2 linked regions of the Xenopus tropicalis genome follow. The protein of the gene in region 1 purifies or fractionates together with the protein of each later gene. This does not show direct contact. Links are inferred from orthologs where the notes say so. Each region holds a gene or a part of one and is shown on either strand. Other genes may lie near its edges.

Evidence for each region.
Region 2: the proteins of polr3f (region 1) and polr3gl purify together in Homo sapiens (co-immunoprecipitation; 5 studies listed by BioGRID and IntAct, counting the BioPlex papers as one, with this or other methods). This does not show direct contact. The link is inferred for Xenopus tropicalis from reciprocal best matches to the Homo sapiens genes POLR3F and POLR3GL.

Annotation. Positions count from the first base shown.
Region 1 is NC_030681.2:38,388,133-38,398,067, forward strand, and holds the start of polr3f (DNA-directed RNA polymerase III subunit RPC6), read left to right. Parts: upstream 1-884; 5' UTR 885-1,046; coding exon 1,047-1,102; intron 1,103-2,629; coding exon 2,630-2,747; intron 2,748-3,863; coding exon 3,864-3,931; intron 3,932-4,055; coding exon 4,056-4,123; intron 4,124-4,424; coding exon 4,425-4,537; intron 4,538-6,131; coding exon 6,132-6,275; intron 6,276-7,689; coding exon 7,690-7,797; intron 7,798-9,063; coding exon 9,064-9,255; intron 9,256-9,706; coding exon 9,707-9,784; 3' UTR 9,785-9,935. UniProt on the Homo sapiens protein: DNA-dependent RNA polymerase catalyzes the transcription of DNA into RNA using the four ribonucleoside triphosphates as substrates.
Region 2 is NC_030684.2:128,425,784-128,436,506, reverse strand, and holds the start of polr3gl (DNA-directed RNA polymerase III subunit RPC7-like), read right to left. Parts: upstream 6,791-10,723; 5' UTR 6,762-6,790; intron 5,148-6,761; 5' UTR 5,013-5,147; intron 2,928-5,012; 5' UTR 2,891-2,927; coding exon 2,771-2,890; intron 1,129-2,770; coding exon 999-1,128; intron 1-998. UniProt on the Homo sapiens protein: DNA-dependent RNA polymerase catalyzes the transcription of DNA into RNA using the four ribonucleoside triphosphates as substrates. Specific peripheric component of RNA polymerase III which synthesizes small RNAs, such as 5S rRNA and tRNAs.

The sequences.
Region 1 (9,935 bases):
TAAGCGTGCATGCCGGGCCCCTCCGAAGATATTTTTTTTGTGGGGGTGGGGCCAGACCACTCAAGGTACGCTACTGTCTCTTGACCAAAAACATTGCACTAAGGGACATTGTCACCATTTGTTGGCCACTGTACCCAACTTTCTGCAGTTCAAATGAATACATTAGAAATTGATTAAATGATTTATTGTATTTGTCCTGTCAGCATTTGTACTTAGCAAAACTTTTAATTAGTCAAACAGCCATAAAATGATTCTGAGGCTATAATTCTCCCAGACAATCTGGTGCATGAGATGAGCTTACATACATGTACTGTACATGCTACACCAGTCCCGCTTTATAAAAACGTATAAAATATAAAAATATTTCAGCCACTGAAAAACATGTAACTAGAAGTTAATGGGCTTCATCGAATCACATAGCATTGAGTTCGAAAAGCATAAGTTCGCAAGCTGCAGAGCACTATCTATGGCGAGCAGTAACCTACAGACTCTTCATTAGTCTAAATTGATAGCACCCTGACTTACCTTGATAAAATATCCCACTGTGGACCCCGGCGCAGCCTTTGTCCCACCTCCCGTTACTAGAGACGCGGTGTAGTAAAAACCTGCTTCCTGACGGTGTCTGCCCTTTTCATTGGTCAAGTCTGGCTGCCTAGCAACTAAAGATGCGAAGATGACGCTAATAAACCATCGCCCATATTTCTTCACACTCTCAAAGCGCATGCTCCTATGCATGACGTATTTCCGCAGCAAATGCTACACAGACGACTTGCTGTATTTGGAAATTGTAAAGCGTGAAAATGTTTGGTTAGCGACAACGTAAATCGCGAAGTCCTTTAGTTAAAAGACGTAGTACCTTTGATTTGAAAATATATTGTCCGCTCGGAAGTTGTTCCGTTCCAAACGCTCCCTTTTGCCCGAAAGCAAAATGGCTGCCGATACTTTCTGCTGATCGAGCTGCAGCGCTAGTGCTACCTGAACTGGGGGTGTTGGGGCGACAGTCGTTAAGGGGGACACGTGGGCAAAGGATAGGGACTCAAATAAACATGTCAGAAGCGAAGGTGAAGCAAGAAGGTGGGGAGGCAGCGGAGATAGAGAACAGGTAAGCGGTGCAAAGCGGAGTATGTCTTTGGCGTTTTGGCTATGTTGGTTTACTTTTTTCAATTACATAAGGTTTAAATGAAAGTCCCTTGCATTAGAAAGACACATTGATCAATATAATCATATTGGCAGCATATGCTTACAGTTATAGCAGAAAACTAAAGTTATTTATTAGTTGTGTCACTTGCTGTCACGCATTGACTTGCTCAATGTCTGTCCCAGGTTATATCCAGCCTTTCTTCAGAGCTGTGGTCCCAGACCAGGCATTAGAACCCTACTAGTATTTTGAAAAGCTTCATGGCAATCTCAGCTATACCTTATCTAAAGGACATGACTACACCTACACTGTGGCTGACTGATGAGACATGAACACATTTGCTAAAAGATGTGGGGTTTTTATCTGCAGGAAACCTAAAACTGTAGAGGCCAGTGTATGCCTATAGACACTTTTGCTAAACATCAGCATACTAAATAAGTCTTGTGTTGAGAATGTAATCTTTTTTTATTTTAGTTTAAAAATCCATATTTTTAACATTTATCAAATGTTTTGTAGTTATAAAGCACTAAAATAAAAGTGTTTTGTTTTTCCCCACTATTGTTTAAATGAGAATAATGAGCTGTGTATAAAGCAAATCCACTCTCTCCTAAGATGTAGCCTTTGTTAGACTTTGTGATTAGGAGCAGCCAGTGCTTATCTGTATACTGTTGATTTGTTTTACCACAAATGATGATTTGGCAGAACCAGGAAACTAGAAAATTTAAGCTGTCAGTGTCTTTGTTTAGTGCAAGAAATAACTAAAAGCCATACATTACTTGGAAAAACTATATTTATTGTTTAGCTCATGGTAAAAAGAAATATACTGCCCCTTAAAGGAAACTTTTAAGGACTGTCTTATAGTAAAAAGGGACAATAAAAATATGTGGTTATGATAAAGTTACACCGAATTAAAAAAAAAACAAGTGTGTTTATGCCAGGCCCGGTCTGACAGTCTATGGATTCTGGCCAATGCCAGAGTGGCTGCTGCAAGATGCCATAGAACGTCACTATGTATTGCACCTGTGGGGGGCTGTTTGGGCCTTTGTACATGAAATTCCTCTTTTGAATCTTAGTCCGGACCTGTAGACTGCCTCTGGTGTATGTAGTACAGCATGTAGTACCAAAAAACATCCAACATCTGTCTACCAATGGAGGGTGGCTGTTATTACAGCTGTCCAAAAAAAAAAAAAGCAGCAATGGCTTCGGTTCTTTAAACATCCTCTTTGTTGTTAGTGTGATTTTTAGTCACATAATACTCCGTTCCAGCCGTTTGTTTCTTGCAGTTGTTGGCTCACATAAGGGGTAGCAGTTCTTTCATACTGGACATGATCTAAATATTCTGCATGTGTTGTGCATTCCTTCCACTAACATCAGGGGCCAAAATTATTACAAATAAAATGTTAGAGAAAGTCAACAGTCTCATAAACACTTAACACAGTTACACTTAAGCTTTTTCTAGTTCTTTAATGGTATTTTTTTCTATATATTTAGGGTTATTGAGCTGTGCCAGCAGTTTCCTCATGGTATCACTGACCAAGTTATTCAAAATGAGATGCCTCACATTGAAGCCAAACAAAGGGCCATGTGCATCAACCGACTGCTGGCAACTGTAAGTTCTTTTATATTTGTTTTCTTTTTGTCTTACATAATGTATGTTAAAACTATGGCTATATGGCCCCTTGTTTAGATTGAGATACTGAGGGGCAGTTCATTTTGCAAGCTAGGAAATACAGAAGTAAATCACCAAAACTACAAAAACAATAATGGCAGTAGTGACAACGTTTTAACTTTATTATTGCCTAATATTACTTGCATTATCATTTTGAATTTAGCCCCTTGCATGTCATAAATATTTGATGTTGCCCCTCTGTATGTTCCCAATAGTTATACACTGCAGAATAGATAAATCAAAGGCTTCTTTACTGTGACAAATGCCATATAGGGTTAAACATTAAAAAGTTTGAACATTTTTACAATCCATTTCAGTAGAATGACTTTAGGCCAGAACATGTAATACCAGAGAGCAGTTCTAGGATATTCTTTTTATCAACAATTTTTACCAACAAGATTGCTCGTTGCCTGTATGGAAACAGCACAAATATCTTTTGATACCTATTGATAATCAAGTATGGAATACACTCCCCAGCATCCCCATACACTCCCCAGCATCCTGCAGCTGCCCACCCCAGCATTCTCCAGCTCCCCCCCCAGCATTCTCCAGCTCCCCCCCCAGCATTCTCCAGCTCCCCCCACCAGCATTCTCCAGCTCCCCCCACCAGCATTCTCCAGCTCCCCCCACCAGCATCCTCCAGCTCCCCCACCAGCATCCTCCAGCTCCCCCCACCAGCATCCTCCAGCTCCCCCCACCAGCATCCTCCAGCTCCCCCCACCAGCATCCTCCAGCTCCCCCCACCAGCATCCTCCAGCTCCCCCCCAGCATGCTCCAGCTCCCCCCCAGCATGCTCCAGCTCCCCCCCAGCATTCTCTAGCTCCCCCCAGCATTCTCTAGCTCCCCCCAGCATTCTCTAGCTCCCCCCAGCATTCTCTAGCTCCCCCAGCATTCTCTAGCTCCCCCCAGCATTCTCTAGCTCCCCCCCCAGCATCCCCTAGCTCCCCCCCCCCAGCATCCTCTACATCTTCAGCAACCTAGAGAAAAAGAGCTATTGCTGATGCATGTAAATTGCTCTGTGGATCCACTGACTTTATTCCCTTCTTTCATTTTCAGGGTCAGCTGGATCTGTTACGAAGTGGTGCAGGACTGCTGTACAGGTTGAAGGATCCACAAACTGCTGGGTGAGATTATTTAATAATAATAAATATAAATATATATATTGATATATTATATATACATTGAATTATATGTGGGGAATTAAAGACTGGTACACAAATATGCATTTTCTTTTTCTCTGTTTTGCAGTAAAATGAAGGGTTCAGACAATCAGGAGAAGTTAGTGTATCAGATAATTGAGGATGCTGATAACAAAGGTATGCTCTATAAATGTAATAGGTTGTGCTTATTCACATTTCTTTATCTGTTGTTAGGAGATAGATCCATGATTAATGACAATAGCTGTATGTAGAAATATTATGGCAAGGATGTTACTTGGTGCTTACAAAAAGAAAATGTAAATTGGCCACATTTCTTCTTGAAGCTTAAATGGACTTTATTTCAAATTCTACATCAGAGATTTTTTGCTGTTATTCTATCAAAATAGTTTAAAGTGCTGCATATAAGAGAGTGCATCTATATAAAGAAATCACAGAAAAAACTCTTTGTTTTATTCAGGTATATGGAGCCGAGATATAAGGTACAAAAGCAATTTGCCACTGACTGAAATCAACAAAATTTTGAAAAACCTAGAGAGCAAGAAACTTATTAAAGCTGTGAAATCTGTAGCTGTAAGTTTGTGTGGTTTTCTTAACATTTATATATTTCATATGTAAATGGGACGGGGGATATAACAATCAGAACTGTTGCAGGATTAAAGGAACAGTAACACAAAAAAAAGAAATTAATATAATGTACTGTTCATCATCACTGGAAGATGTTGTATGTGTTCTTCAGAAAGACTACTATAGTTTAATTAAATAAGCTGTTGTGTAGCCATAGGGGCAGCCATTCAAGTTGGAAAAAAGGATAAAAGGCAGACATAGCAGATACCATATAAGCTCTGTAGAATACAATGGTGTTATTAGATATTTAGCCCCATTTCAGTAGCTACCTGCTATGACTACACAGCAGCTTTGTTTATATAAACTATAGTAGTGTTTCTGAAGCAAAACCTTTAATAAGTGTCAGGCAGCAGTACATTATATTTAATTAATTTGATATACTTACATTATTTAGTGTTACTTTAAAGGGTTACTGTTATGACCTTTTGTGTGGGTGTTATTTTGTAAATAAGATACTATTTATAAAAATAATGAACATGTTTTGTTCATGTTTTATGTTGCACAGTGTCACAGGTTGCACTATTATACAGCTGCTATACTGGTCCTTCACTGAGACTACTGTTTAATTTATGGCAGGACCTCTTTCTCTAACAACTCCTTTTATTTATAAGTAGAAGTGGTGTTACATACCCAGAGACAACAGCAAGGCCCTGCAAAATAATCTTGAGTTTCTGAAATTCCAATACCATTACATCCTGCTACTCTACTATTATTGTTATAGATTTTTTTTTTTTGGAACTCTGATATGCTGCCAAACTGTTAAGTAATTGGTGTTACAGTGATTGGGATCTCTATACACCCTCTGCCTTTCCTTGATAATGTTTGGCAAAGCAGCATGAGTGATCAAAAGTAATAGTGGAGATTTCAGATCGCGCAAGCTGCTTTGCCTTAAGTCAGTGTTTGTGCATGTTAGCTTGGGAAGACAGTGCCTTGCCTTCCTGTGCGGACAAGTATATGTACTAAGCTTAGTCAAAGCAGACCATGTAAACAAATATCCACTCTGACTTGTCTAAATTTCCCCACTGCTTTCCTATTGTAGCACAAACCTAGGATGACACTGGGCAAGAGAGAGAGTTTGGCCAACGTTCTCAGAGCAGAAACTACACTGTATTTGTGTAATTCCAGCATGTCCTTTTAATAACAGCAAGCAATACTGCATTGTGCTCAGTGACTACAATTGTTATTCTACGTACTACTAGTCATGCTGTACATTTACCATTTTAGAGCAAAACCAATGAACTTTGTTTGCATTTATCTTGTTTTTATTCTAAAGCTGCAACTATTATGATTGTATTAATACCTATTCATAAAGCACTATACAAAACTGGTCGAAACAGGAGGTAAAGTTGTCCCTTTTCAGGAGAGCTTACAATCTAAAACCAGTCTCTTATTTTGCTGCTTCTTTAAAATACAATGTACACATATTTCTACCCTATCAAGGCAAATAGTGATTTGTAAAATGATTGCACCTCTTTAGCAACATCTTGTCGTTCATCATGGTCCCCTTAAGTAACCTAGCACGTGTGCTTCTCCATCATAGGCTTCAAAGAAGAAAGTTTACATGTTGTACAATCTGCAGCCAGATCGCTCTGTGACAGGAGGAGCTTGGTACAGTGACCAGGATTTCGAATCTGAGTTTGTGGAGGTGTTAAATCAACAATGTTTTAAATTTCTACAAACCAAGGTAAACAGTTCAGCCATCAAGATTTGTGATAGTATTCAAAAGTGTATTTATTTTGCTCTTTTATTTTCCCAAAAAGTGAAGTGTGAGGGCCCAAATGACAATGATTATTAATGCAGCCTATGTAAAATGCCTTGGTCAGGAAAAGCAATAGGACAGCTGCTATTCGTGTGCATAAATGCAAATAGACTTGCAAGATTTATTGTTCTGGATCGCGTAAGTGATCAGCAGTTCTCCAGTTTGGAATTTCAGCAGCTATCTGGTTGCTAGGGTTTTGTTTACCTTGGCAACCAGGCAGTGATTTGAATGAGAGACTGGAATATGAATAGGCGAGGGACTGAATAGAAAGATAACGAATAAAAGTAACAATAATAATAAAATTGCAAGCTCACAGAGCAATAGGTTTTTGGCTGCCAGGGTCAGTGACCCACCATTTGAAAGATGCAGAAGAGGAAGGCAAATAATTCAAAAACTATAATTAAATAAAAAAAGACTAATTGCAAAGTTTCTAGGAATACGACATTCATATTAACTTAAAGGCAAACCACCGTTTTGGGATAGGAGATGCTCTTCCCCTCATTAAATTAAGTTACTAAACAAGGGGTACATATATTAAGTTTGATAAGATCTGGGGAAACTGGTGCAACCAAGATAACCTGGACACATAGCTCACCCCCTTATATTAAGTGTGACTGACCCGACAGAACTAAACACTGCCACCTACATAGTGACAACTGCAATGCCTAGCAATAGTATTCTTGCTTGTACTGACCTAAACTCAACTTGACACCATTCCAATGTCAGTATATTAAACACTGTTTTGTATTTTATTGTTTTGTGATGTTGTAAAATCAATAAAAATTTACCTTTAATAAAAAAAAGGCAAACCACCACAAATGTTATTGACCTGAGAAACTATTATCCTGTTACAATAAAATCACTTCTGTAACAGCACCTACATGAATAAAGCATGGCATAGAAGTATAGAGTTTTGAGCATTATAATCACTGCTGCTGTGTTTAAATGCCATTAGTAGCCTTGTCCTAATATACAATTTAACTGAAGAGTGTCAAAATACTTGTTATGTTATTAAGTTAAAATGGGCCCCATACTGGTTGAATCCCATATTATAATTTTTATAAATTATTTTTAATAGAAAATTTTATTAAAACAAATTGCAATTCAAAACCAATTTTTAGGTTGCAAAACCACTTTCTAATCTTTGTCTCTTGAGAAAAAGGTTAAAAAAAATACTGAATTTAACTGTATTAAATTTAACTGTATGTTTCCAGGGATGGGAAATACCTCTCCATGAATCCTGAATAAATAATATATGCATATGATACCTTGTTTCTGATATGTACTCAACACATACATACTGTAATGGTACTTGTTTGGTGTGCTTTAACCTAAACAGGCTGAAGCAGCAAGGGACAGTAAACAAAACCCCATGATACAGAGGAACAGCTCATTTGCCTCATCCCATGAAGTCTGGAAATACATCTGTGAACTGGGGATTAGCAAGGTGAGCTGGACCTTCTCTTTATATATGACACATGCATTAGTAGTGTGTAACATGAGCACTGAAATGTTCAATGGTGTAAAATATGTTGTATCCCAAATGCCATTTTAAAGTAAAAGAAAACTGTGTTTGGTGTGGGAGGCCCACTGAGCTCTCCTTTTTATACAATTCACTGACCACTATTAAAGGAACAGTAACACCAAAAAATGTATAGATTTCAAAGAAATTAAACTATAATGTACTGCTGCCCTGCACTGGTAAAAGTTTTGTGTTTGCTTCAGAAACATTACTAGAGTTTATATGAATCCTGGTGTGTAGCCATGGGGGCAGCCATTTAAAAGAAGAAAAGGCACAGGTTATATAGCAGCTAACAGATAAACCCTGTAGAATACAATGGTGTCTTATCTGTTATCTGCTATGTAACCTGTGCCTTTTCTCCTTTTTTCCAGCTTGAATGGCTGCCCCCATGGCTACACAGCAGCTTATTTATATAAACTATAGTAGTGTTCCTGAAGCAATCACCCCAGTTTTACCAGTGCAGGGCCACAGTACGTTATATTTCAATTACTTTAAAACGCTTTCATATTTTGGTGTTACTGTACAACAAAAACATCAGCAGCTCGTCTGTGCTTGTCTATCAGCCACTGCTGTCTGTATTTCTTACATATATCTGCATATATCGACACACAGCCTATCATCTAAGACACATGGTGCAGGATGTACAGCATCTTGGGAGAGGTTATCCCCCAGAATGTGCACTCTGCACTATACAGTAGATAGTATGCCATTTTCCAGTTTGCCATGATCCCTTAGTAGAATTACCGCTCAGAATCCTTGCAAAATGTAAACAGAAACAGATCTTAGGGTGCATGAATATCTATGGTCCCTAATAACTAACAACCACAGTAGGGCACATATATAAAGTAGAAATCTATTCTTTGGGGTGTACTTTTTAGGGGTTAAGCTGAATACCGAATCCTCCATATAAATATTGAAATATAAACCAGATTCAAACCCTAATTTGCATATTCAACTGTAACGCAAATAATACATTTGCATCTCTTTAATTAAAAAAAAATGTCCCACTTGTTCAAATTCACTGTGGTGAGGTGCAAGTAATCCTGCATCCTTACTGTTATTTAACAGTAATTAACAGGAGAGAGCTGGACATTTGAGTTACTTATATGATTCTAGGGTAGGGAAGGTTCTATCCCTACACATTCATGTATTTAATAAATAACTCCCTAAAAACCTATTTGTTTTTTAAAGGTGGAATTGTCTATGGAAGATATTGAAACCATCCTGAATACTTTAATATATGATGGGAAAGTAGAGATGACCATAATCGCTGCTAAGGAGGGGACTGTGGGTAGTGTTGATGGACAAATGAAACTGTATAGGGGAGTGAACCCTATCACACAACCTGCAGGTTTAGTGAGAACCCCGTGCGGCCTGTGTCCGGTAAGAAACCCCAAGTTATCATTGTTTCTTAAAAATTTGCTTAGTCTTTGATAGTGTTACTAGGAAATCTGACCTGCAGTGTGGCTTTATCCTGCCTAGTTTCCCAGCACAGTATATGGGAGGCCTGCTGTTTTCCAAGTATATTCAGCATGTTCCATTGCTATAAATGTTAAACTAACCATGGAAATACCTATCCATTTAATCAGCTACTTACAATAGCATTCATATACTGTTACAGTAGTTATCATAGTAAGCTAGGAACTATTGTTCCTAATTTCAGTATAGTTTTCTATAAATATTTGAAAGTTTTTGTAGACTTGCTAAATAGCAAGGAGAAGACAGAATAGCTTCCAGGAATGGGTCACTGTTGCACTAAAGATTACCAGTTGTTATCAGATCTTCTTTCTGTTTAGAAACCTAAATAAAGTGTTTTGCAACATGTTCTTGCTAGGTATTTGACGACTGTCATGAAGGAGGTGAAATTTCCCCATCAAACTGCATTTATATGACAGACTGGCTGGATTTTTAGTGAAAGGAGGCTGGCCTGTTGGACCAAAATCTAACCAGAAGAGTGGTCAGTCACAACAAGGATACATGGCTGATAGTGAAGGAACTGCTCTGTTCTATGAAATGCAGTGTTTGACTGCTGTTATATTTATTTTCAGATGTTTTCATAATTG
Region 2 (10,723 bases), on another chromosome or scaffold:
AGTAAAATGCCTTTTCTTCTCCTTTAAGTACCCGGGAAGGAAAAAGGGCTCTACTACTGTATATGCTAAAAAACTTCTGTAACCACAGAGGGTGACAGAGTAAAGACAACCCCCTTTTTGTGGTTTTAAGGAAAATCTAAACTCAGCTATCCCTGAGTTTTGTATCATAATTACGATAAACTTAATCACAACACTCATTCTGAAATTGAAATAAAGTGCCGGTGGGTATCACAATCTATGTGTGTTATAACTGATAAATATCTATAATGAATAACGTGACCAGTGCTTTTTGCTTTAAATTACCATAAAGTGACCGTGTCATAAAAACCTGTGCATTCTGCACTGCATTCAGCCATGTAGCATCAGCTATGACAAATGTAACCTTATTTTTGCAGCATAATTTCCAACGACCCCTGAGGTTTCCTTCTTTACAGTATCCAACAGCACACTGAGCATGTGCAGTGCCACTGACACTCAAAAGATGGCCTAACAAGACCCCAAGAATGGGAGGTTGCTGTATACAAATTCGAAAGCATGGATCATTGCAGTTATAGGGCTGCTGAACCAAAGGTATTTTACTGTATTGTTAGTTAATGTAAATGTATTGCTAGCCATGTTCTTGTTTACCCTTCTATTTTCCTACATGTTTAAGGATAGCATGTTCAGCTTTCAAGTGCTGCCAGTTTACGCCAACTCCTCACCTTAACCAATGGGGAGCAACTGTGAAGTGAAGCAACCTAGGGTGCAAGTTCCCAGAGTGAGCGAGACGACATGGGCATGCACATAACATAACTGGGGGTAGTGTGCCTGGGGAGTCACAGACATGCATGAGAAGTAGACCGGGGAGATTAAGTAAAACTGCATGGGGGGCTGGTAAAAAATCAGGCATTTGCATTAAAAACCACACGCCCATATGATTCTATTGCTTTACTTGCCCTTGCAACAATAAATGATATAGTGCTTTTTAGGGCAACCAAATAGAGCCAAGCTAAACACACCTTTCTTGGGAGCAGCGGGCTTGATGAAGTACGGGAGAGTCTTCATGGCTCCTCGGAGTTCTTGTTTCAACGCCAGCATATATTCCACCTCCTCCCCTGTCTGCAGGGGTACTGGTTTGTATTCCAGGTTCTGAACAAAACAACAAAGAGAGTAGGATGATATACACAGTGTATAGCTCTTAATGGAGAAGAAAAGATGAAATCACAGAGGGGGTGCCAAATGTTAGGCACCCCCCAGTAATTATAATTACTTACCTGATACCCCACGCTGGTGCTCCTGTTAGCAGAAAACTGCAGCAGCCTGGGGTACTTCAGACCTAGCACCACTGCATTATCTACATCTTGTTTCTTCTTCACTTCAGTAAAGTGAAAAGCCAAGTTTGCTTTTTCACACACATGCACACATGCACCCTGGGTGATTGAGGAATGAAGAAGTGAAAGAAGAGGATTGTTCTGTGGTGCTTGCTCAGAGTACCCCAGGGCAGAGCAGTTTTATACTAAATGGACCACCGGCCCAGAGTATCAGGTAAGTCATTATAATCACTGAAGGGAGTGCCCCCCCCCCCCCAGTAATTTAACCATTCCTTGTCCTTTAAAAAGAAACTGCAGGGAATGTTTAACAAAACTGTTGTACATAGAGTTGCTGCATGAATTTCTTTTGAGTTCCGCAACCTAACATGTTTCCCAGCTGTAAACAACACACCCTACTGTCAGTCACTGACAGGTAAAGTCCAGTCTGATTCCAGCATGAGTATGCAATGCACTACTGACACACAGCATGGCTGGGTTTTCTTTCAAGTGAAAAAAGTTAGGAAAGTAAGGAAAAAATAATAAAACCTATTAGTACAAAAAAATGAATAAAGACCTAATACTATCCAGGTAAGTAGCATTTAAACCCATGACAAATGAAAAATAAGCCTATGTATATTCTATAAACATAACAGTATAACTAAAAGGCCATTATACCTTAGGGAAGGCCACATGTATCTCACTTGTAAAGGGCCCATAGTAGCAAACAGGTGGATGGCAGGCACAGGGGTGGGCAACTGGGCACTGTAATGAAAAATGCAGACCCTGATCCTGCCACCCAACAGGCAAAAAGTCAGAAAGCAATAGAAGGCAGTGCACAATGGGCAGACAGGGAAAACAGATACTAAAATGCTAAGATATGGATCAGGAGCCTGTAGTTCACTGCTTCTTGCTGAAATTCAGTCTGCTGACTCCAATAACACATATCAGCAGTCAAAAATATGGGGAGTTGTGGTTTAGTTACAATATGTTCCCCACTCATGCCTATTTTGGTACATTTCTATACATAGCATGTACACTTTAAAGGAAAGTAAGTAAAAAATCTATTCTACCCTGCTCCAATAATTGCCCTATCCTGCACACCATTTATTATTTTGAATGCTTTATTAGAAAATTTCTGCTAAAACCCGGCTTCCGGTCATTTGAAATAAGGCGATACGGCGATGTAGAAGCAGAATCCACTACGCGACGATCAATCCTAGCCTTCCTTCTGTATAGGAAGGAGTCAGGCAAGGATCGATCAAAGGAGTCAGGCTGTGATCGATCAATTCTGCTTCTGCATCGCCTTATTTCAAATGACCGGAAGCCAGGTTTTAGCAGGTATTTTCTAATAAAGCATTCAAAATAATAAACGGTGTGCAGGATAGGGCAATTATTGGAGCAGGGTAGAATAGATTTTTTTACTTAAAAATTTTTAGTGTTACTTTTCCTTTAATACCAAAGCTGTATAGAGCTTAACTTACCGGGAACAACGGGGGAGGTTGGAGAGTGGGTGGCGGCAGTGCTTCCCCTCTGGTAATTCCAACAGCTTCTACATTAAAGGTCAGTTGGCCCCGACCGCTACCTCTGCCTTTTCCAGCCATCTTGTGCTATGCCCAAGAAACAGTAGAATAACCTAGCCTGGGTATAAGAGATATCAACATCACCTGACATTTTGTATATGTTGTTGTATATTTTGTTTTTGTATATATCTCATGACTTCCTTCATGTAGTGTATAGCAATCCAACAATGTTCCACCATCCAGTAAAAAGGCTTCCCAGAAGAATATGGGTTGGTATAACAGATAACATATTCATATTAATACCCTTGGCTAAAGATCTCAAAGGGCTATTCCACCAAACCCACAGACTTGTATTTCTACCCACTTGGACCCACTTCTCACTATAAAACTGGAAGCTTTATCATCAGACCAAAAATGTGGTCGTCATAAACTCAGAAGTAAACTCATCCAGGAGCAAGGGGAGGTGGCAAGTAAGGAAAAGGAACCCAGCAAGGCAGCGACCCATTGCCACATCTGCTTTTCTTGGCTGCAACTGGCCAAATACCTGTGTTTCTTCAGGTAAGATGGACTATACTTTTGGTTTCATTAAAATAATGTGGAACTATGATTAAGTGTGTTTTTGGGCACAATATGTGTAAGGTTGTAGAGATAATGTTATAAACAGAGATTTTGACTACTATTTTGTGCCCTTTGTGGATAAATTGGATTACCCATCACCTATTTTTGCTTTGTTATGGTCTTTCTGCTTCCCTGAGCTAAAGGTCAGTAGCACCCAGACTGCTTTCTTGAATTGGTATGTCTTCTACATAGATTTGTGCTTTGGTGCCCTTCTGTTTTGTTTTGTTTTAATTAACAGAGACAGTGGACAGGTAGATGTCCAGATACTTGTGGTCATCCAACACTGGGTTTAACTTTTAGTGCTCATCATCTATTTTTACTTTGTTATGATAGCCTGTCGGCTTCCCTGAGCTAAGGACCTGGAGCAGCAGGACCACTTCTTTTTTTGTTTTGTTTAAATTCATTAAATAATGGACAGGTAGGTGTCCAGATACTTTTGGTAATATAAGGTATCACTTGGGCTAACGTTCCCTTTAAAGGGGTTGTTTGCCTTCAATGTCTAATTTTTAGTAAACCACCAACAATGCTTGCAGCATTTTACATAAAAAAAGTACAAAGGCCACTGAAAAAGCTACTTTTTATACCTTTAAATCAGTCCTCATTCTGTCTCTCTGATCAGTTTTCTGAAGGGATGGGAGTGGCCTATTTAGAACCTGACACACTGAGAACTTTCCTATATCAGTGATCCCCAACCAGTGGCTCGGGGCCAACATATTTCTCACCAAACCCCTTGGATGTTGCTCCCAGTGCCCCCAAACCAGGGAGTTATTTTTGAATTCCTGACTTGGGGGCAAGTTTTGGTTGAATAAAACAGAATTTACTACCAAATAAAGCCCCTGTAAGCTGATAGTGTGCATAGAGGCTGCCTAATAGCCAATCACAACCCTTATTTGGCTCCTCCATGAACTGTTATGGTGCTTGTGTTGCTCCTCAAGTCTTTTTACATTTGACTGTGGCTCATGAGTAAAAAAAGCTTGGGGATCCCTTTCCTATATGCGTAAATCATCACGTCCAGGCTTTGCCTTTACTTTTGGACCAATTAACTGGTTGCTTTTGAACTCTAACCAGTTGCATAAATTGAAAAGTTGGTTAATTTATCACTTTAAATGGCATAGGCAAATAGACTTAGCAAATCATAAATATAACATACTGTTATGATAGATTTGCAGCACTCTATCACAGGCACAGGAAGCAGTGTCAGACTGACAGGAGACACAGCCAATAGGAGTTAAGTACACTGCAAGCACTATCCATGACATCATATAATAAAGTAAAAAAGACTGTAGGGTTTATAGGGGTCACTGACCCCCTCCCAAAGCACAGGGTCTGTGCAGAAGTTAAGAATCAGCAGAAGGATGATTCTGAGGTGAATATAACTTCACCTGCATATTATTTGTTAACTATGTATATGGCAAAGCTTGTTCTTTTAATGTGAACTGTTAGAATTGTGAATGTTGTACAAAGGTGCTCCATGCAATGTTTAAGCACCATCTGTCTGTATCTAAAAGATTAGACAGCAATGCTTCCAGAATAGGAGAGCACCGTATCAGCATAATGAGCTAACAGTGTATATGCGTGCAATTACCTTTACAAAAAAGTGCCTCAGAGCTGCCACTTTCCTACATGGTCAGCACTGCATTACCAGGTGGGGAATCCTTGTCCTCTTCCCATGTCAGCTGTTTGGTGCTTTCGACATGTTTAATTTCGGGTCTCAAAGAGCCTAAAAACATAAAAGGACTTCGTGTAAGTTGCTAATTAGTGAAAATACTATTCCTACCCCCATCTCTGAATAAAAAAACTTGGTTACAGCAGTTGCCATTTGATGTTTACCCCATATACATGACAGCAGCACGCAGCATATAAACCAGGGGTAGGAAAATATGTGGGTACATGCCCTCATTTTTAAGTCTTGAATTTTAAGTAAGGCCTTTAAAGGAAAAGGAAAGGTAAAAAACTAATATCAGAAAGGTCTATGTAAATACAGCCATAAGCACTCACAGAAACGCTGCACTGAGTCCTCTATCAAAAGAAACACAGGATTTCTTGTCTGTTTTCCTCTGCTACAGACACGCAGCTCTCTCCTGCTCCCTCCTCCCTCAAGAATGCTAAGAACTCACTTCCCTCCCCCTTAAGGTCCCCATACACGGCCGATAGAAGCTGCCGATATCGGTCCCTTGGACCGACTCGGCAGCTTATCGGCCCGTGTAGGGGCAGAAACGAGCGGAATGGCCGACCGATATCTGGCCTGAAATTGGCCAGATAACGATCGGCCAGGTTAGAAAATCCCGTCGGATCGGGGACCGCATCGGCTCGTTGATGCAGTCCCCGAACCGACTGCCCCATTGCCGCGTGCAGAATTCGATCGTTTGGCCCCAGGGCCAAATGATCGAATTCACCTACATGCCTCCCTGATATCGCCACCCGTGTATGGCCAGCTTTAGGAATGAGGATCTGCGCCAATCAGCAGGAAGCTTCCTCATAGTCTTACTAACTGAGCATGTACACTGGTCTTGGTGCAGGAGCGAGGCATTACAAATCTCAGTTTTTTTTTTTCCTATGAGGCTTCTGATCATCTGAACGGGAGAAATATAGGGAGACTTAAGGGCACTATTGAGAGAACCGACGGTATGCCTGCAGCTTGAGATTAACTCTTTATTAGCCTTTCCTTCTCCTTTAATGCAGTTGTATGTTCTGCACAGTGTGTGCTGCATGTATGCTGTGTTGTGGCCACACATGGCTTAATAATGAACAGGCCATAAACATAGTAAACAATCTAAAGTCTAGTGGGAACTCCAGTCCTGACATGGGAGTCATGGAAGTAAGTTTACCCCCAGAATGAAAAATTAACCAATAGACAGATTATATTATATTAAGTGACCTATTAAAGAATCTCCCCAAACTGGAATATATATATCAGTACATATTTCCCTTTTACATCCTTTCCCTTGAGCCGCCATTTAGTGATGGGCTGTGTGCTCCCTCAGAGATCAGCTGACAGGAAATAAAGCAGCTCTACAGGTTGATCTGTGCCAAATCAGCAATTATAAATAAAATAGAGTTCCCTCTAAGCCATGGGCCCCAATGAGGGTTGCCACCTGACTGGTAAAAATGCCATTGCACGCAACAAAGTGCGATACACAAAGATTTTTTTTTTCTTATTGCAACCCTTCTCCTTCTGTGCCTACAGAATTTGCCAAATGTGCAGACAAAATATAATTTGAAAAGAGACTAGAGGGAACACTACTTCGTTGTAGCGCTACAGCAACAAAGCCGAAATCATCATTTTCTACACAAATGTTTATAACATTGATATTATAGGTATTTTTCGTCTTACTGCACGCTTCCCCACCCGCAGAATGCAACTTTTATAGCGCATAGTGATGACGTACACAATAGCCACGCCCACAAGGCTACCGCCGTGTGGTACCACCAGCCAATGACTGAGGAGATTGGGGGCGGGGTGAAGCACGGCGGAACAAGTCATTGGGAACTGGCAGTTGCCATAGTGACAAGGCGCTGCGAAAACCTTTATTGCGCAAGAAAATGCAAACATACCGGCCAGCAGTCGCGATTTTTATAACACGGGCCGCATTCCCGTATCAAGGTTTTAAAATTCTGCTGCGTCCTTGACATTTGTATTTTAGCTCTCGGAAGTCGCAAGTCTCATCTCGCGAGATTATGACGTCACTTTAACATTATATAAGGGGGTGAGGCATCGTATAGCGGCATTGCGAGAATGGCGAGCAGTGTGAATGTGTGTGATAGTTGTGCAGAAGTGCAAGCTGTTAGTAATGCGCAGTAGTGGGGTTGGGATAACAGGAGGCTACTCACAAGTGTTAGTTATGAGGCTATTTTGTCGAGGGAAAAAATATTCTTTCTGTTGGGATTACTAGTCTTTCCTACTTGCCCAGGGCTTTAGGTCATAGTGTTTGGCCAAGACTAAGCCTATGCTAACTGCTATTAATGGCTTGGTCACTTTTTTACTTGAGGGGTAAAGGCACTAGTCCAATAGTCAATCTTTTCCTACATTTGACATAAAAAGGGCTTTTTTTTTTTTTTTTTTTTAAAGGAATTTTATTCATACTTTTCTATTAATTTGGCTTAAAAGAAGAGTTTCAGTGCAAATGAGCCATATTTTTTTACAATTTGGAAGGAAGCCAGGGGCACTTTAAGTAGACAATGGGTGAAATTACCCAAAAGTAACAATTTACAGTTAATTTGTTCTAACTTCAAGGTGTTGATTCTGGAGTAGAACGTTCTAGGTGCTGACAGGGTTTTCCCACAAATGGTTTCAATAAAGCGGCTGTTCCTGTTACCCCAAAACAAGCTGCTCCTTTTTGTTGTTTTATGTTAAGCCTAAGAGCAATATATTTTACAATGTAGGAGTAGATTATGGTCTGATATACGAGAAGATAATAGGTGAAATACATATTAACAATAAGCTTTAGTTTTTGGGTTATTTTAACCCTTTAAGTGCCAGCCGAATTCGTCATTTCGGTTCCCCCCAGTGCCAGACGTTTTTTAAGCATTTTGTACTCATTCACTTTAACAATGTTTTTTGGTAGGAAAACCTCCATGAAACTAGGGAAATTATATATCGTTTTTTTCGTCACTAATTGGGCTTCGACATACATACCAAATTTTATAACTTTTCTGGAGATATGATGTGTATTTTGGGTGAAATATGTAAAAAAAAAAAAAAAATTATGAAAAATTTCTGTATATTTTGAGGTTTTTTTCCATAGAAAAGTTAATTTTGCACAATTTTTTTTGTCGTTTGTAAAAGCCCTGATGAAATCGGTGGTCAGAGCCCTGGATCCACCAATGTCACTGCAAAAGCAACCTTTTTGGGGCACTAAACACACAATAAAGAACAATGCAAAGATAAAACACCATAAAATCAGTAAAATCCAATAAAACCACCTAAACCAACAGAAGAACAATAATTGCAATGAAATTGGTGGTCAGAGCCCTGGATCCACCAACGTCACTGCAAATTCAGCACCCAATAGCAATAAAAAAAGTTACAATACAATACAATAATAAAAAAACAAATCAATTATGAAAATGCCAAAAAAACACTAAAATGCAACCAAATAAATCAGATAATTATAGAGCAAGATCAGAAATAAAGTTTTAGTAAAAAAAAAAAGACTGCCAAAGAAAGCAAAGAAAGAAAGAAGAGAAAAGAAAGATAGAAAAAAAAAAAAAAGTGTAAGTGTGTGTGTAAGTGTCTGTGTGTGCTTGGGAAAGTTGTAAATAAGTGTGTATGTGTGCAAAAGTGTAATAATGACAAAGATAGAAGAAAAAATTGAAAAAAAAAAAAAATTTTAGACAGTTGAGATAGAAATAAGCAAAATAAACAGTGGTAGAGAGTTGTAGTTCAGCTTACCCAAGGCAGGCAGGCGATCAGGGGCGACCAATCTGGCAGGAAGGCAGCAGGGGAGCTCCATCAGGTCCGAAGTGCGCAGCAGGAATGAGGAGCCGACAGTAGGCGGCGCTATTTAAAGGGACAGCAGTGGACACGTCATCATCGCGTGTCCACTGCTGTCATTGGCTGGCGACGCGATCGGGGGACCGGATCGGTGAGTATGACTGTCTTTGCTCGTTGCCTAGGGGGTTGTGAAGGGTTTACAAGCGCTGCGCTGCTTTAAAAGCCAGCGCAGCGCTTGTAAACCTGATAGTGCTGTAGGACGTAGATTCTACGTCCTGTGGCACTTTGGTCCTTTGCTACCCAGGACGTAGAATCTACGTCCTATGGCACTAAAAGGGCTAATGGTGTGGGAGCCTCCCAGGGGCAGGTTTTTCACAGTTCATGGACAAAAAGGGCTATTTTAGGTGAAGACGATTAGTAAAAATGACCCAAAAATAGGTTTTTTAGGCTCTTTTTTTAACTGCGGCACTATGATGTTCTCTGTGAGGGAGGCCTCTATCACCCCCTCTAATCTTACATGTTGGAAACTGACACAGATCAGCGACACTCCACACTTTATTTTATGGCAGGGATCCCCAACCTTTCTTTGAGGTTTGAGCCACAGTCAAATGTTAAAAGACTTGGAGAGCAACACAAACATAAAAGTTAATGGAGGAGCCAAATAAGGGCTGTGATTGGCTATTAGGCAGCCTCTATGCACCCTATCAGCTTACAGGGGCTTTATTTGGTAGTAAATCTTGTTTTTATTCAACCAAAACTTGCCCCCAAGTCAGGAATTCAAAAATAACTACCTGGTTTGGGGGCACTGAGAGCAACATCCAAGGGGTTGGGGAGCAACATGTTACCCCTGAGCCACTGGTTGGGGATCACTGTTTTAGGGGTTCAAACAGGGTAGAATGGCTAGGGGGGGACAAAAAAAAGCAAGAACCAGTTGCAATCAATAAGGTGTACAGCCCACTTCTGTCAAATAGTCCAGTGGTACAGCGCCCCCAGTGGTGTCCCTAAATTAACTGTACAGAGCCCTGCTTGAGCAGGTCACAGATCAGCAGTGCAGAGTTCATATTAAAGACTTGGCACAGGTTAGAAGCACACTGTTCTCTTGGTACAATCTGCGGGGCAGCGTTCACCTTAAAGGAATACTTGAAAATTTTTTTTTTCATAAAATGAAATTTTATTTTGAAATTTCACATGGGGCTAGCCATATTCTTCTTTTCCCAGGTGCCTTCAGCCATGTGACCTGTGCTCTGATAAACTTCAGTCACACTTTACTGCTGCGCTGCAAGTTGGAGTGATATCCCCCCCCTCCCAGCAGCCGATCAGCAGAATAATGGGAAGGGAGCAAGATAGCAGCCCCCTAGTAGGTATCAGAATAGCACTCAATAGTAAGAAATCCAAGTCCGGCTTGGGACTCCTCCAGTTACATGGGAGTAGGAGAAACAATAGGTTAGCTGAAAGCAGTTCTAATGTGTAGCGCTGGCTGAAAGCTCAGACTCAGGCACAATGCACTGAGATGGCGCCTACACACCAATATTAAAGCTAAAAATACATTTGTTGGTTCAAGAAATGGCAGAGGGAATTATTTGCTATGTAAACAGTGTAATTTAGAAGTAAAAATGTTGACAGAATCTCTTTAAACCAACCCACAAATTAACAGTACCTGAGAATATCCTTGCAGACTTCCAGCAGTACACAGCCCTCCTTGGGGTAGGGGATCCAATCAGCAGTTGGAGAGAGTCTCCCTACAGGTCCAAGGAGGAGCCAAAGAGGGTTGTCCTGCCCTCAGCCTGGGTAAACCCCAGAGGCTGTGAAGAACCACAACTACTCCCACTTTCCAGACAATTAAAACTTTCATCCGGGAAAGG